Xenopus tropicalis: one gene and its partner. The protein of the gene in region 1 interacts with the protein of each later gene in a pairwise test. Links are inferred from orthologs where the notes say so. Each region holds a gene or a part of one and is shown on either strand. Other genes may lie near its edges.

Region 1 (7,120 bases):
TGTCCTACTGTCTCCACCTTGTCCTACAGTCTCCACCTAGTCCTTATATTCTTATTGTCCTACTGTCTCCACCTAGTCCTTATACTGTTATTGCCCTACTGTCTCCACCTAGTCCTCATATTCTTATTGTCCTACTGTCTCCACCTGTCCTTATATTCTTATTGCCCTACTGTCTCCACCTAGTCCTCATGCTGTTATTGTTCTACTGTCTCCACCTAGTCCTTATACTGTTATTGCCCTACTGTCTCCACCTAGTCCTTATACTGTTATTGCCCTACTGTCTCCACCTAGTCCTTATATTGCTATTGTCCTACTGTCTCCACCTAGTCCTTATATTGCTATTGTCCTACTGTCTCCACCTAGTCCTTATATTGTTATTGTCCTACTGTCTCCACCTAGTCCTTATATTGCTATTGTCCTACTGTCTCCACCTAGTCCTTATATTGTTATTGTCCTACTGTCTCCACCTAGTCCTTATATTGCTATTGCCCTACTGTCTCCACCTAGTCCTTATATTGTTATTGTCCTACTGTCTCCACCTAGTCCTTATATTGTTATTGTCCTACTGTCTCCACCTAGTCCTTATATTGTTATTGTCCTACTGTCTCCACCTAGTCCTTATATTGTTATTGCCCTACTGTCTCCACCTAGTCCTTATATTCTTATTGTCCTACTGTCTCCACCTAGTCCTTATATTCTTATTGTCCTACTGTCTCCACCTAGTCCTTATATTCTTATTGTCCTACTGTCTCCACCTAGTCCTCATATTGTTATTGTCCTACTGTCTCCACCTAGTCCTTATATTGTTATTGTCCTACTGTCTCCACCTAGTCCTTATATTCTTATTGTCCTACTGTCTCCACCTAGTCCTTATATTCTTATTGTCCTACTGTCTCCACCTAGTCCTCATATTGTTATTGCCCTACTGTCTCCACCTAGTCCTTATACTGTTATTGTTCTACTGTCTCCACCTAGTCCTTATACTGTTATTGTCCTACTGTCTCCACCTAGTCCTTATATTGCTATTGCCCTACTGTCTCCACCTAGTCCTTATATTGCTATTGCCCTACTGTCTCCACCTAGACCTTATACTGTTATTGAGCCCTGCTGTTTCCACTTAGTTCTATTATTATCATCTAGTCCTGTCTCCACCTTGTCCTACAATTCTCATCTACTTTTGCTGTCTCCACCTTACCCTACTGTTCCCACCTTGCCTACTACCCCAACCTTGCCCAAAAGTCTCCACCTAGTTGTATTACTGTCACCTAGTCCTATGTCTCCATCTGTCCTACTTTTATCACCCAGTCCTACTGCCTCCAACTTGCCCTTCTGTCTCCACCTTCACTGTGAATGAATTGCCCAGGGCAGTTAAGCCTACTTGAGCACCAGTTAGGACAGCTGAATGCAGACCAATAGAAAGCCCTTTATGGGTCCCTCTGACACAATAGAAATAGGACAATAACCAACAGCTGAAAGTTGCACAGTGAGTAAGTCTCCGGCTCCGCCAAGCAGCTGGGACTCTATAAACAAAATGACTGTTGTATGTTACTCTCCTATGGGCCCAGCCGGCTCCTCACCACATGCCCAGCTGTCTCAGCGACAAAATGGGGACTTGTTGCTGCACTTCCATTTCCAGCCTGAGCTGGACACACTGGGTTTAGAAATATCTTCACTTGTGTTGCAGGAATTTATCTCTTCCACTCACTGACCTACAGCAGGAAAAGCACAATAAATAATAAAAATCCAACCAAAAATCACTTTCACTTTGTGAGACCTTGAGAACAGAATCCCCGGTAGGGTGTGGGTGGTCAAAAAGGTGGTCAAAAATGGACAATTCCAGCCTTGACGATGGAAATTCAGAACAAACTTGCTGAATACAAGGTACCTAGTAACCTAAATCCACCCCCTCAACAGATAATTCTGTGGGTCTTTCTATCCTCCAGGAACGTTAGGCCGTAGTCTGAACAAGCAAATGGAGAACCCACTAGAGAGGTGGAGAACGTTTTAGGGTCCCTCTGTACCCCCTCAAACCCTTGGGACTATGATCTGTTTCCTGCATCCAACGGTCCCTTCTATAGACTCATTGGGCTTGGTCCCAGGTTTCATTACCTAGAACCCACCAGTCATGTCTGTCTCCATGTTTGAAGGCCACGTTCTTACCATGTTTCATGTTTCTCCAATCTAGGAACGCCAAGAAGGAGAGCGATCTGCTGACGGCGCAGGCGCGGCTGAAGGATTTGGAGGCCCTGCTGAACTCTAAAGATGCCGCCCTCACCACGGCGCTGGGAGAGAAGAGGAATCTGGAGAACGAGATCAGGGAACTTAAGGCTCACATTGCAAAGGTGAGAAGAAACAGGGAGGGGGGAACCCTTTGGGAAGAAATGTTTTACTTTATGGCCTTTATTTGCCCCATGACCCAAGCCATCCCTGATCCTACTTCCTACGACCTGCAGGGCTTGATAGGAGTTGTAGTTCTACCTCTCCAACTGGAGGTCCAAGGTTGGGTAAGGGTTCAGCTGTTGGCCAGCTTTAATCATGGTCAAGTTTTTGGCCATTTTTTATTACTCACAGCCAAGGGGTTAATCTGTTCCTCCTTGGATGACAATATCTGGCACCGGTCCAAACAAGCTCGGGGAGTTCTCCGCGGCGAATTTATTGCTCGTCAGACAGGAGCTCGTCTGGGCCGGTAGCACAAGCTGTGTCATGTTTGGCTTCCTACACGTTCCATCTGTGTTTAGTGTGGGGGGAGTGGGCTGCAGGGGGAGTATTAGGCACATCTAAATGGCCACCCATCTGCCGTCCAATTGTGCCACTTACTGCTCCAAAGGGGCCAATTAAGAAATTAGAGGAACCGCAGTGTAAAAGGCCAGTCCTAGTCGAGGGTTTGCAGGAATTTCGACAAAACGTGTCCTTGTTTGTGCATGGTTTCTAATTAGGAAGTAATTGGGGGGGGGGGGATGCATTTGTGGTTAGTGGCACCATTGGTTGCCCTTGGATGGGCAACTGTATGATGCACCTAGGTGACCCTGAAATCAAAAGTCTGGGAGGGTCTAAGTCTGGAAGGGTCTAAGTTGTGTCAGTTGTTGAGGAGGCCAACCACGAACCCAGCTCAGTGCCGAGACCTAGTGGCTCAAAAAGACTGGGAGGGTCCAAGTCTGGAAGGGTCTAAGTTGTGTCAAATGTTGAGGAGGCCAACCACGAACCCAGCTCAGTGCCAAGACCTAGTGGTTCAAAAAGGCTGGAAGGGTCTAAGTCTGGAAGGGTCTAAGTTGTGTCAAAAGTTGAGGAGGCCAACCACGAACCCAGCTCAGTGCCGAGACCTAGTGGCTCAAAAAGGCTGCGAGGGTCCAAGTCTGGAAGGGTCTAAGTTGTGTCAAATGTTGAGGAGGCCAACCACAAACCCAGCTCAGTGCCAAGACCTAGTGGTTCAAAAAGGCTGGAAGGGTCTAAGTTGTGTCAAATGTTGAGGAGGCCAACCACGAACCCTGCTCAGTGCCGAGATCTAGTGGCTCAAAAAGACTGGGAGGGTCTAACTCTGGAAGGGTTTAAGTTGTGTCAAATGTTGAGGAGGCCAACCATGAACCCAGCTCAGTGCAGAGACCTAGTGGCTCAAAAAGACTGGGAGGGTCTAAGTTATGTCAAATGTTGTGGAGGCCAACCACGAACCCAGATCAGTGCCAAGACCTAGTGGCTCAAAAAGGCTCGGAGGGTCTAAGTCTCGAAGGGTCTAAGTTGTGTCAAATGTTCAGGAGGCCAACCACTTACCCAGCTCAGTGCCGAGACCTAGTGGCTCAAAAAGGCTCGGAGGGTCTAAGTCTGGAAGGGTCTAAGTTGTGTCAAATGTTGAGGAGGCCAACCACGAACCCAGCTCAGTGCCGAGACCTAGTGGCTCAAAAAGACTGGGAGGGTCATGGTTGGTTTAAGACAGAGTTAAAGCCAAAACAACAGACTGAGGGACTGCTGAACTTCTGGCCCATAGCCCACCTAGTCTAGGTTCAACTGACTGCTGAGACCTTGAGGGAGCCACCTTTGAGTCCAAGTGACGTTGGTTGATTCATGACTGAGTTCAAGCCGTATAACTGACTGTTGAGGGTGCCAGTTTTGAGCCCCAGAGGTTGAACTCACTCCTGAGACCTACTGGTTTAAAAGGCCAAAACTGTGCGGGACTGAGGTCCAACTCAGCACCAAGGCCAAGATGTGACCCAAGTGCATCACAAAACCCAGATTTGGTCTTCAAACTGGTCTCCCCAAGAATGGTCTCAAACACTAAAGAGACGTTATCACAATGTCCGAGCGTCCTCCATGGTGAACACAATTCCTTATGTTTGCGTAATAGGAGGGGCCTTATATTTATTAAATAGATGTTGGTTAAGATGGTGGGAAAAGGGACTAGTTAGTGGGTCTCACAAGCTGAACTTTCCGACTCTTTCTCCCCCCGCAGTTGGAGGCCAGCCTCGCCGACACAAAGAAACAACTGCAGGACGAGATGCTCCGCCGCGTGGATACCGAGAACCGCAACCAGACGCTGAAGGAGGAGCTTGAGTTCCAGAAGAACATTTCTAACGAGGTCTGTTTACTTATCTCTACTTTATGAACCTGGCCAAAGTCCCCAGTAACCACCATGCAGATTAGAGGCTGGATACAAGGCCCCCAGGGATCACCATGCAGATTAGAGGCTGGATACAAGGCCCCCAGCAATCACCATGCAGATTAGAGGCTGGATACAAGGCCCCCAGCACTCACCATGCAGATTAGAGGCTGGATACAAGGCCCCCAGCACTCGCCATGCAGATTAGAGGCTGGATACAGTGACCCCAGCAATCACCATGCAGATTAGAGGCTGAATACAAGGCCCCCAGGGATCACCGTGCAGATTAGAGGCTGGATACAAGGCCCCCAGGGATCACCATGCAGATTAGAGGCTAGATACAGTGACCCCAGCAATCACCATGCAGATTAGAGGCTGGATACAAGGCCCCCAGGGATCACCATGCAGATTAGAGGCTGGATACAGTGACCCCAGCAATCACCATGCAGATTAGAGGCTGGATACAAGGCCCCCAGGGATCACCATGCAGATTAGAGGCTAGATACAGTGACCCCAGCAATCACCATGCAGATTAGAGGCTGGATACAAGGCCCCCAGGGATCACCGTGCAGATTAGAGTCTGGATACAAGGCCCCCAGGGATCACCGTGCAGATTAGAGGCTGGATACAAGGCCCCCAGCAATCACCATGCAGATTAGAGGCTGGATACAGTGACCCCAGCAATCACCATGCAGATTAGAGGCTGGATACAAGGCCCCCAGGGATCACCATGCAGATTAGAGGCTGGATACTGTGACCCCAGCAATCACCATGCAGATTAGAGGCTAGATTTTTGTCTTTGTACCCAATAGCGTGATGCTAAAAACCATTCCCATTTGTTATTATTATTATTAGCCATAACCCATATTTATGTACAATGCCCTATTAATTATCTGCCATTTTGTGGTTGAACCTTTGCGCAATCGGTGCCCGCGCCGCCCTGAATTCCCGCCCCCCCCCCCCTCTTCCTATTTGTGGTTGGGAGCAGCAGTCGGGCCTTTCAAGCCGCCGGCGGTGCAACCGGTACCGACACGTGACTGCCGCCTCCGATAATCACTTAGGAACAATTAACGCTTATTCCCAAGCCCCAAAATCCAAACACAGGGGGGGGGGGCCGGGAGGAATCTGTTGGATCAGAACCCGTCCATCTTGTCTTGCAGGAGATGCGCGAGACCAAGCGCCGCCACGAGACCCGGATGGTGGAGATGGACAACGGGCGGCAGAGGGAGTTTGAGTCCAAACTGGCAGACGCCCTGCAGGATCTCCGTGCCCAACACGAGGGGCAGGTCGGCCTCTACAAGGAAGAGCTGGAGAAGACCTACAATGCCAAGGTGAGGCTGAGCGCCATTTAGTAGATTAGGCCCGTAGCCATGGATAGAACTGACCAAATGCCGCCCCCCCCCCAGCTGGAGAATGCCAAGCAGTCGGCCGAGAGGAACAGCAGCCTGGTGGGAGAAGCCCAGGAGGAGATTCAGCAGAGCCGGATCCGCATCGACAGTCTCTCTGCCCAGCTCAGCCAACTGCAGAAACAGGTACGGCTCCCCCCACCCCCCGTCAGGGGTGCCCATACACTGGCAGATAAGATGGCAAATCGGTCTGAAGGACCCAAAATCTGCCTGAGTATGGGCACCTTTATATATACACTTGGAGCTGCCATGTCGATTCCTGAATAAAGAAACAGCGCCACCTAGTGTGCACCAATTGCCCTGCTCTGTTACTATCTATGGGAATTGGGGGACAGGGGGTGACCTGTTGGTTTTTTTTTTGCTGCCCCCCAGCTGGCGGCTAAAGAGGCCAAACTACGGGATCTGGAGGATGCTTACGCCCGCGAACGGGACTCCAACCGGCGCCTCATGTCGGACAAGGACCGGGAGATGGCGGAGATGCGGGCCCGTATGCAGCAGCAGCTGGACGAGTACCAGGAACTGCTGGACATCAAACTGGCGCTGGACATGGAGATCCATGCCTACCGCAAACTACTGGAGGGAGAGGAGGAGAGGTGGGCGGGGCTTGCTAGTAGGCGGGGCATAAGGCCCATAGGCTAGATTTTACCCTTTCAGTGCCAAATTAAACCGCTTTAGATGGGACTTTATTAACTTTCAGATTTACCGTACTGTGTCTTACTTGCCCTTGAAAGTTGACTTGTTCAGGCAAATAAATGGAGTGAGTTCCCCCTGCTGGGTGGAACTGGTATTGCAGCAGGGGAATTTTCACTACCTGGTTACTTTATGGCATTAGTGGGTGTGTGGGGGGGTCCAGATACTTGTAACCCCCACTCTAATCTTGACTGTAGTGCCCCTCCCAATGCCAAACCATCTCCAAACATGTACCCTATATACCCCTCCCCTTTCCAAAAGCCTCAGGGGTAGAGTTGCCATCTTTTTCGTGGCCCCTGATGACATGGAGGTAGGGGGGTGGGACTTAAAAATGGGAAGGGGTGGGACCTAAAAATGGGAGGGGGTGGGGCTGTGACACTAAGGAAGGGGGGTAGAGGAAAACCGGGGGGAGTTGCAGGGTGGAAGAAGTAATGGG
Region 2 (7,750 bases), on another chromosome or scaffold:
TCCAGCTAATCATACTGAGTTAACCAAATAATAACATTAGTTTTAATGCCAGCACAGCTCTATTTTCTGTCTTTTGGCTTTTAGTAAAGATATAGTGAATAAAGTACCCCCTATTTTAATATCCTCATATTTTACAACAGGTGGTACTTTATTTATTATATCATACAGGTTTTAGTGAGTCATGTGACAGAAATTACATCATTAAGCTCTGATTATAACTGATGACAACACTAAGCACCATTTATAAGGATATAATTTACAGTTTGGCCCCATAGGGAAATTACCAAACTGTATATTATATGATTATAATGTCTTTTGTATAATCAGTGTTTAATGAAATCATGATTTATAACTATAATGCATTTATATATTGCATAAAAGGGATATAGAAAAGCTCAGAATCTCAGTAACATTGGCTCATGCCAAATAAAAAGCCTGCCTAATACATTGCAATTTATTCTTGGCCTTAAGAATGTTGTGTTGGTTAACCAGACTGATGACTTTCACAGAGAATCTCTCAGCCCAATGGAATGGGGATTGGATAGTCACTGAATTATATTGCTGCAAGGTGATTTGCAGGGCAGGGTTGAAGTACCAGAATGTACATCTCAGTTCCAGACAGAACATTGGCTCTTGCAGTATTTCCTTACTGGATTTTCAGATAATACTATGTAGTACAAACTAAGCACATACCACAAGCATATTTTGAAGTGCTGAAGCATAGAGACAGATGTCCCTTTGCTAATGTTTAGAAACTACAGAAAGCATATTATGTACAGAATTAGAATGAATTCCTTCAGCTTAGAGATATGGGGAATGAGAAGGGCAATAGAAACATTTCAGAAGACAGCAACAAACGGTTGTTTTTTTATCTGATATTCTTTTATGTGCACTTGTTTTTATGGTTGGAGCTAGGTCCCTTGGTCCCAGTGAAACCTGTTTGTGGCAACAGTTCTGGAAAAGCAGCCTCCATACAGAAGTAGCAGAAGTCCATTATTTTCCTGGCCTGTCAGTCATCTTCATTCTGCTAAAGTATTCCATATACTTCTTTCAGTACATTCATATATACATTCAAACATGTTAATTAAGCTATACTAAAAAGAATGAAATTTTCTTTAGGGATGCACCGAATGATGATGCCTGATGCCAATATTATTAATAGAAAAAAAGATAAAATTATAGGAAGGCCGATACTTTTTCTTCTAGAAAAGGTGGCAACCCTAATGAGAAGAGGTATGAAACACAAGGGGGCACATTTACTAATCCACAAATCCAAATCCGAATGGGAAAAATTCGGATTGGAAACGAACATTTTGCGACATTTTCGCATTTTTTGCGTTTTTTTCGTCGACGTTACGACTTTTTCGTAGCCGTTAGGATTTGCTCGTATATTGTCGCTACTTTTTTGTATTGAGCGCTTGTAAACGGCGGGCAAACCTTTCAGACTTTGCATGATTTTGGAAGCCTCCCATAGGACTCAATGGCACTCTGCAGCTCCAACCTGGCCCAAGGAAAGCCTCCCATAGGACTCAATGGCACTCTGCAGCTCCAACCTGGCCCAAGGAAAGTCTCCCATAGGGCTCAATGGCACTCTGCAGCTCCAACCTGGCCCAAGGAAAGTCTCCCATAGGACTCAATGGCACTCTGCAGCTCCAACCTGGCCCAAGGAAAGTCTCCCATAGGGCTCAATGGCACTCTGCAGCTCCAACCTGGCCCACGGAAAGCCTCCCATAGGGCTCAATGGCACTCTGCAGCTCCAATCCGACCCAAGGAAAGTCACGATACTGAAGCTTGAATGAATCCGAAACTTTCGTACTCGGCGCAACGGCTACGAAAAATCGCAACAATTCACGCGACTTTTTCGCATTTTTTGCGATTTTTTCGTCGACGTTACGACTTTTTCGTAGCCGTTAGGATTTGCTCGTATATTGTCGCTACTTTTTTGTATTGAGCGCTTGTAAACGGCGGGCAAACCTTTCAGACTTTGCATGATTTTGGAAGCCTCCCATAGGACTCAATGGCACTCTGCAGCTCCAACCTGGCCCAAGGAAAGCCTCCCATAGGACTCAATGGCACTCTGCAGCTCCAACCTGGCCCAAGGAAAGTCTCCCATAGGGCTCAATGGCACTCTGCAGCTCCAACCCGGCCCAAGGAAAGTCTCCCATAGGACTCAATGGCACTCTGCAGCTCCAACCTGGCCCAAGGAAAGTCTCCCATAGGGCTCAATGGCACTCTGCAGCTCCAACCCGACCCAAGGAAAGTCACGATACTGAAGCTTGAATGAATCCGAAACTTTCGTACTCGGCGCAACGGCTACGAAAAATCGCAACAATTCACGCAAGTCGTAACGCTACGAAAAAGTCGCGACAATTTGCGAAAAAGTCATAACGGCTACGAAAAAGTCGTGACAACTTACGAAAAAAATTGCAAAATACCGATCATTACGAAAAAAAGCATTCGGACGCTTTTCGGACGTTCGTGGATTAGTAAATGTGCCCCAAGGTGTTATAAATACACACAAGCAAACACATAACCTTGCACTAGGAGTAAGTGCCCTACAAAGGGACCAATAAACCCTATCTATGTAAATGTCTACTCTACAGTATAAGGGCAGTGGTACTTGGGGAGATTAGTCACCCCGCGACAAATCTTTGTTGTCGCGGGCGACTAATCTCCCCACAATGCCATCCCACCGGCTAGAATGGGTGGGATGGCACTGTGGGGAGATTAGTTGCCCACGACAACGAAGACGATACTACTTCAAATCGCTTAACGCTCTGAATCGATATGAGACCCTTTTTTGAGTGATTTTACAAAGAAAGCAATGTCATTAAAAACTACTGGAATCGCTGAAAGTAAAACCCACTGATGGAAGCTGCTGCGATTTCCCCATTGCACTGAATATAATTTCTAATTGTGGAATATGACACTTGGATTTGTGGGAAATAGAATTGCTCCATTGTTGTAATCGCTTGTTAGGAAAAGACAAGTGACTTGTTAAAAGCGACTCACTTTTTAAAAATCACAGCGACTAAATCTCCCCATGGGATATTAGCCTAAGAAAGAGACAATTTAAAATAAAATGAAAGAGCAAATATTTGTTCAATACTAAAAATAATGACAACATTTCTTTAATGTCTCTATTTCATCTTAAAAGATGTAATTAATACTTAAAAAAACATTTTGTACGGCGTTAATGAATACAAACAACGTCAAATCATTAATTTCAGTCCTACAATGGTGCTGGCAGGCTGGCTTCACACTGTGCCAGTGCGCTTGCGCATTGTGAGAACGCCGAACTCTAGATCATTCAGAGGGTTAAAGGGAACAGGACGGTGAATCGCGTTTCGAGCGATGGATGGTTTACAGTCAGCTGGAGCGCCATGTTAGCCAGTGAATAAGCTTAGAGCTGAGCATCGCTGGAGTCTCATCCGAACAGGTACAGGTCTGCCGCATCGGCTCTAGTTGGGAGGGATTCCCCCAATAGTGAACCGTCCGAATATATTACAGCTGCCAGTTTGTCTTGTGACAGTCACAGGCGGTGAGGAAGATGGCTCGGTCTTATTGTCTTCTTGTCAGTGGTTCCTCTTTACAAATCCCAGTGTTTGTGTTACTGTACTAAATACGAATTGCTACACACTTATGGCCACCTATTGCTTTACTTGTTAATTTATCTTCTATGTGTGTGTGTATGTATGTATATATATAATATATATATATATTATACACACACACAGTACTCAAGCCATGAATATCCAGTAAATTGATAGTGATAATCAGTGCTTAGTTCTAAAATTTGTGTCTTGCTGCGTTGTGCCACTATATGGTCATGAAACCTCCCATAACCTCTGATATCTTTATCATGTACAATAGAGGGTACATATATAGTCTCATTGACTGTCATAAGGATGATCTTGATGACAACTTTGTATAGATTGGAACACGTAGAACTTTTAAAGGGGTTGTTCACCTTAAAATTAACTTTTAAGTATGACGTGGAGATTTATATTTGCATTTGGTCTTAATTTTTATTATTTACGGTTTTTTAATTAATTTGCTTTTTGCGAAGCAACTCTTCAGTTTGGAGTTTCAGCACCTATCTGGTTGCTTTGATCTTAGTTACCCTAGTAACCAGGCAGTGGTTTGAATTAGAGACTGGAATATGAACAGGAGAGAACGTAACTAGGAAGATAAGTAATGAAGAGAATGACAATAAAATTGTAGCCTCACAGAGCAATAGTTTTTGACAGACAGGGTCAGTGACAGGCCCGGACTGACGATATGTGGATTCTGGTAAATTCCAGAGGGGCTGCTGTAAGATACCATAGACAGTCACTATTGGGCTGGTGGGGGCTGTTTGGGCCTTTTGTGTACTTGAATTGGCCAGGCCTATTTTGAATCCCAGATCAGACCTGGTCAGTGACCCCCATTTGGAAGCTTTAGAAGAAGAAGCCAAATAATTCAAAAACGATACAAAATAACAAATGAAGACCAGCTGAAAAGTTGCCAAGTATTGATCATTTTATAACATAATAAAAGTTAACTTGAGGTGAATCACTCTTTAACTTCACTGGATTACTTAAATAACATGCAAAAATAAGTGCTTTTGTATTGTGACTGTATATAGTAAGCATCCGGCTGGATACTTCAGAATTATTGGAGTGTGTCTGGATGGGATGGAGATAAATAAAATGTTAGGCACCCCCATTGATTGTAATCATTTACCTGATACCCCAGCCGGTGCTCCTGTTTGGAGAAAACTGCAGTGGCCTTGGGTATATGTGAGCGAGTGTTCCTTTTCCTTTTATCTTCTTTCTTCGGAATCCAGGGGCCGAAGCATGCTCAGTTGAATGAAAAAGCCAGCTATTTTGTTAAAGCCGGCTTTTTACTCTACTGCACATGTGCAAAGAAGAAGGAACGCTCGCTCGCATACACCCTGGCCACTGCAGTTTTCTCCAAACAGGAGCACCGGCTGGGGGTTTCAAGTAAGCGATTGAAGTCACTGAGGGGAGGGGGGCTGCCTAACATTTTGGCACCCCCAAGTGATTGTAACTTTCCTTCTCCTTTAGGGCCGTGGCAGACGGGGAGATTATTCGCCTGCAACAAATCTCCCTTGTCGCGGGCGACTAATCACCCCGATATGCCACCCCATCGGCTTAAATGTCAATCGCCGGTGGTATGGCATATGCGGTGCCGCAATTTCCCAAAATTGCGGAAGTTTCCTCTCAAGGCAAACTTAAGGCCCTTAATGTTCATAATTGCGGTAGCACCTTATTCAGGCGCCGAAAATGCAGTACAGAGAAAAATAGCTTTTATAGGCCCCTTTCCTTAGCACCAGCTCCAGAGCAGAGCAGAACAGGACAGAGCCTCGGGTAATACATTTTTGAACAGTAGAATGCAAGAATTATTTTTTAGGTTTTTGCTGAACTCGCAGCTATGTTCTTGCCCCTGTGTATAATTCTACATTGTGTTCTTTTTCCTTGTAAATGCAGAATCATGGTGTAATGGGGTGGGGTGGGGGGGGGGGGGGTTGTTAGCTCTGGAAGGAAATGTATATGTGAATATTTTCATTTCTTTTTATGTAACTGGCAGTTTAGTCTGCTTTTTTCTTTATATGCCAAATATTAGCCAAGACTTAAGACTTATTATCTTTATTATTTTGTGTCCCTGGCAGTTTATTATTGGCAGCTTGTATTTTTAATTTCAAACCTAGTTGGTTGAGAAAGAAAAAAGCAGCTCTTTGTTTTATATTTATTGACCAGGTTTTAGGGGCAGCTGGGTCTCTTCATCAGACATTCCTTTAAACCATGGAGAATTATCTGTTTCAGCCAATAAAATAACCATATAAATGCCAGTATTTCCCTTTCGAAAAGGTGAGACAGTTATTCCAAAAATGCTTATATATCATGCATGTTAAGCAATCCTGCCCAGTGCACAAAGGTTTCCATCACTGTGCAGATTCTTTGTCCTATAATAGTTAATTGGAAATTATGTAGAAATAACCTGTATATGTGTGCATGGGAACTAAAGTTCTCAGCCCTTAATTTCAGCAAGAAAAAAAAATCACTAGTTTGTCAGTGCATAACATTTCTGTAAAACTTCTCAAGTCCAAATGTAATAAATAATACCTCCAGATTACATGGGCATAATGTTTACCCTAGAATGCGCCAATTCCTTAATTTTGGGGTTTTTTTCTTAAAGGTAATCACATGTTGTGGGATCTTTGAGCACTCTGGTTTTAAGTAACCCAAATTAGCACCTGAAATTGCCCTTCATAGACTTTGGCAGTCCATTGTTCCAGTGCTTGTCAGGTGATATTTGTCTAGATAATATTGTGGGCACATTTCAATCTATAGGGAGAGTTTGGGGTGCTTTGGAGCTGTGTTGGGGCTCCTTACAAAAGCATTGTTCAAAACACCTAAAACAGCCCCTTGTGCCATTAGACTTAATAGTATAAACTATAGTATAGTTATATAGTATAGTTCTAGTTTGATTTTCTAATAACATCTTTTTTTTTCTCTCTCTCTTTCTACTGCAAAGGCTGACTGCTATACAAATACATTGCCCTCACTGATCATTGTCATAAAACACAAATTCACATCAAAGGAAACCCAGTATGCCTCCAAAGTTCAAGAGGCACCTCCACGATGAGGAGGTTACAGGTTCAGTTAAAAGTGAAAGGGTAAGTCTTTTTTTTTATATTCAATGTTGTCTATCACGTAGAATGCTCAGCTTGTTTTCCAAGTCACGTTAATAGAAAATAGTGTATATACTGAATTTAATTGACCAGGGCTACAAAGAGATGATGTTTCCATTGGCAAACAGAAAAAAGCAGAGTTCAGTCAGTGTTTAGGCTGGTGGTGGGCAGGCAGACTTATTGGTGGGTGAACCACATAACATCACAGATGATGGTTTTTCTAAGAGGAAACTGTCAGCTCAAGTCACCAACCAAATGAATGCAACTGATGGTCCATTAAATTGCAGTCACTTACAAAAGTGTGCATCCCCTTCAATGGGCTAAAGAATGATGGCTTCCTCAAAAGCAAGGCATGAATCCATTCTTGATGGGGAAAATCAGAAATCCTATATTTTGTTAGAGAGTTTATTTTGACTTTGAAAGATGGTTTCCAATACATCTATATCATTGTTTTTATTAGAGTAGAAATTTCTAATCCTTTTTTTTTATTTTCAGAGGAATCTGTTGGAAGAAGACTCAGATGAAGAAGAAGATTTCTTCCTGTAAGTTTTTTTTTATGGTCTTATAAATATATATAATTACAATTACAGCACAAATCTTGTAAACTAAAAAGTAACATGTCATATATATATCTCAGATTTGTTTCCTGGCATTGGCCAGTGTTCCAGTGATGAGGCAATTCTGCAAGCCAGTATGCTGGATACAATTTTCAAATACATGACAGTAGTGTTTTTGGGGGTATTTTGACAGAGAAAAAAAACATATAGGGCATAATCTACTAGTATCTTGTTTGTGTCCTGTGAGTTGATTGTCACTGTGTCACAATGGAGTATAATTAATCAATATGCAACAAAAAAATATGAATTCATTATCACCGTTTTTATTTATTCCCAATATATTAAGTTGGATTCATTCGTAGGGATGCATCGAATCCAGGATTCAGTTTGGGATTCAGCCAAATCCACGCTCCTGGCCAAACCAAATTCGAATCCTAAAAACCATGTGACTTTTTGTCACGTAAACACGTTTACGTTTACTGTGCAAACCTAATTT

The links. The genes of interacting proteins can lie anywhere in the genome.
Region 2: the proteins of lmna (region 1) and vamp4 interact in a two-hybrid assay, tested with the Homo sapiens proteins (2 studies listed by BioGRID and IntAct, with this or other methods). The link is inferred for Xenopus tropicalis from reciprocal best matches to the Homo sapiens genes LMNA and VAMP4.

What each region holds. Positions count from the first base shown.
Region 1 is NC_030684.2:142,920,624-142,927,743, reverse strand, and holds part of lmna (lamin), read left to right. Parts: intron 1-2,185; coding exon 2,186-2,342; intron 2,343-4,441; coding exon 4,442-4,567; intron 4,568-5,748; coding exon 5,749-5,919; intron 5,920-5,994; coding exon 5,995-6,120; intron 6,121-6,366; coding exon 6,367-6,587; intron 6,588-7,120.
Region 2 is NC_030680.2:107,499,122-107,506,871, forward strand, and holds the start of vamp4 (vesicle-associated membrane protein 4), read left to right. Parts: upstream 1-3,419; 5' UTR 3,420-3,439; intron 3,440-5,767; exon of another isoform or gene 5,768-5,873; intron 5,874-6,540; 5' UTR 6,541-6,616; coding exon 6,617-6,682; intron 6,683-7,192; coding exon 7,193-7,239; intron 7,240-7,750. UniProt on the Homo sapiens protein: Involved in the pathway that functions to remove an inhibitor (probably synaptotagmin-4) of calcium-triggered exocytosis during the maturation of secretory granules.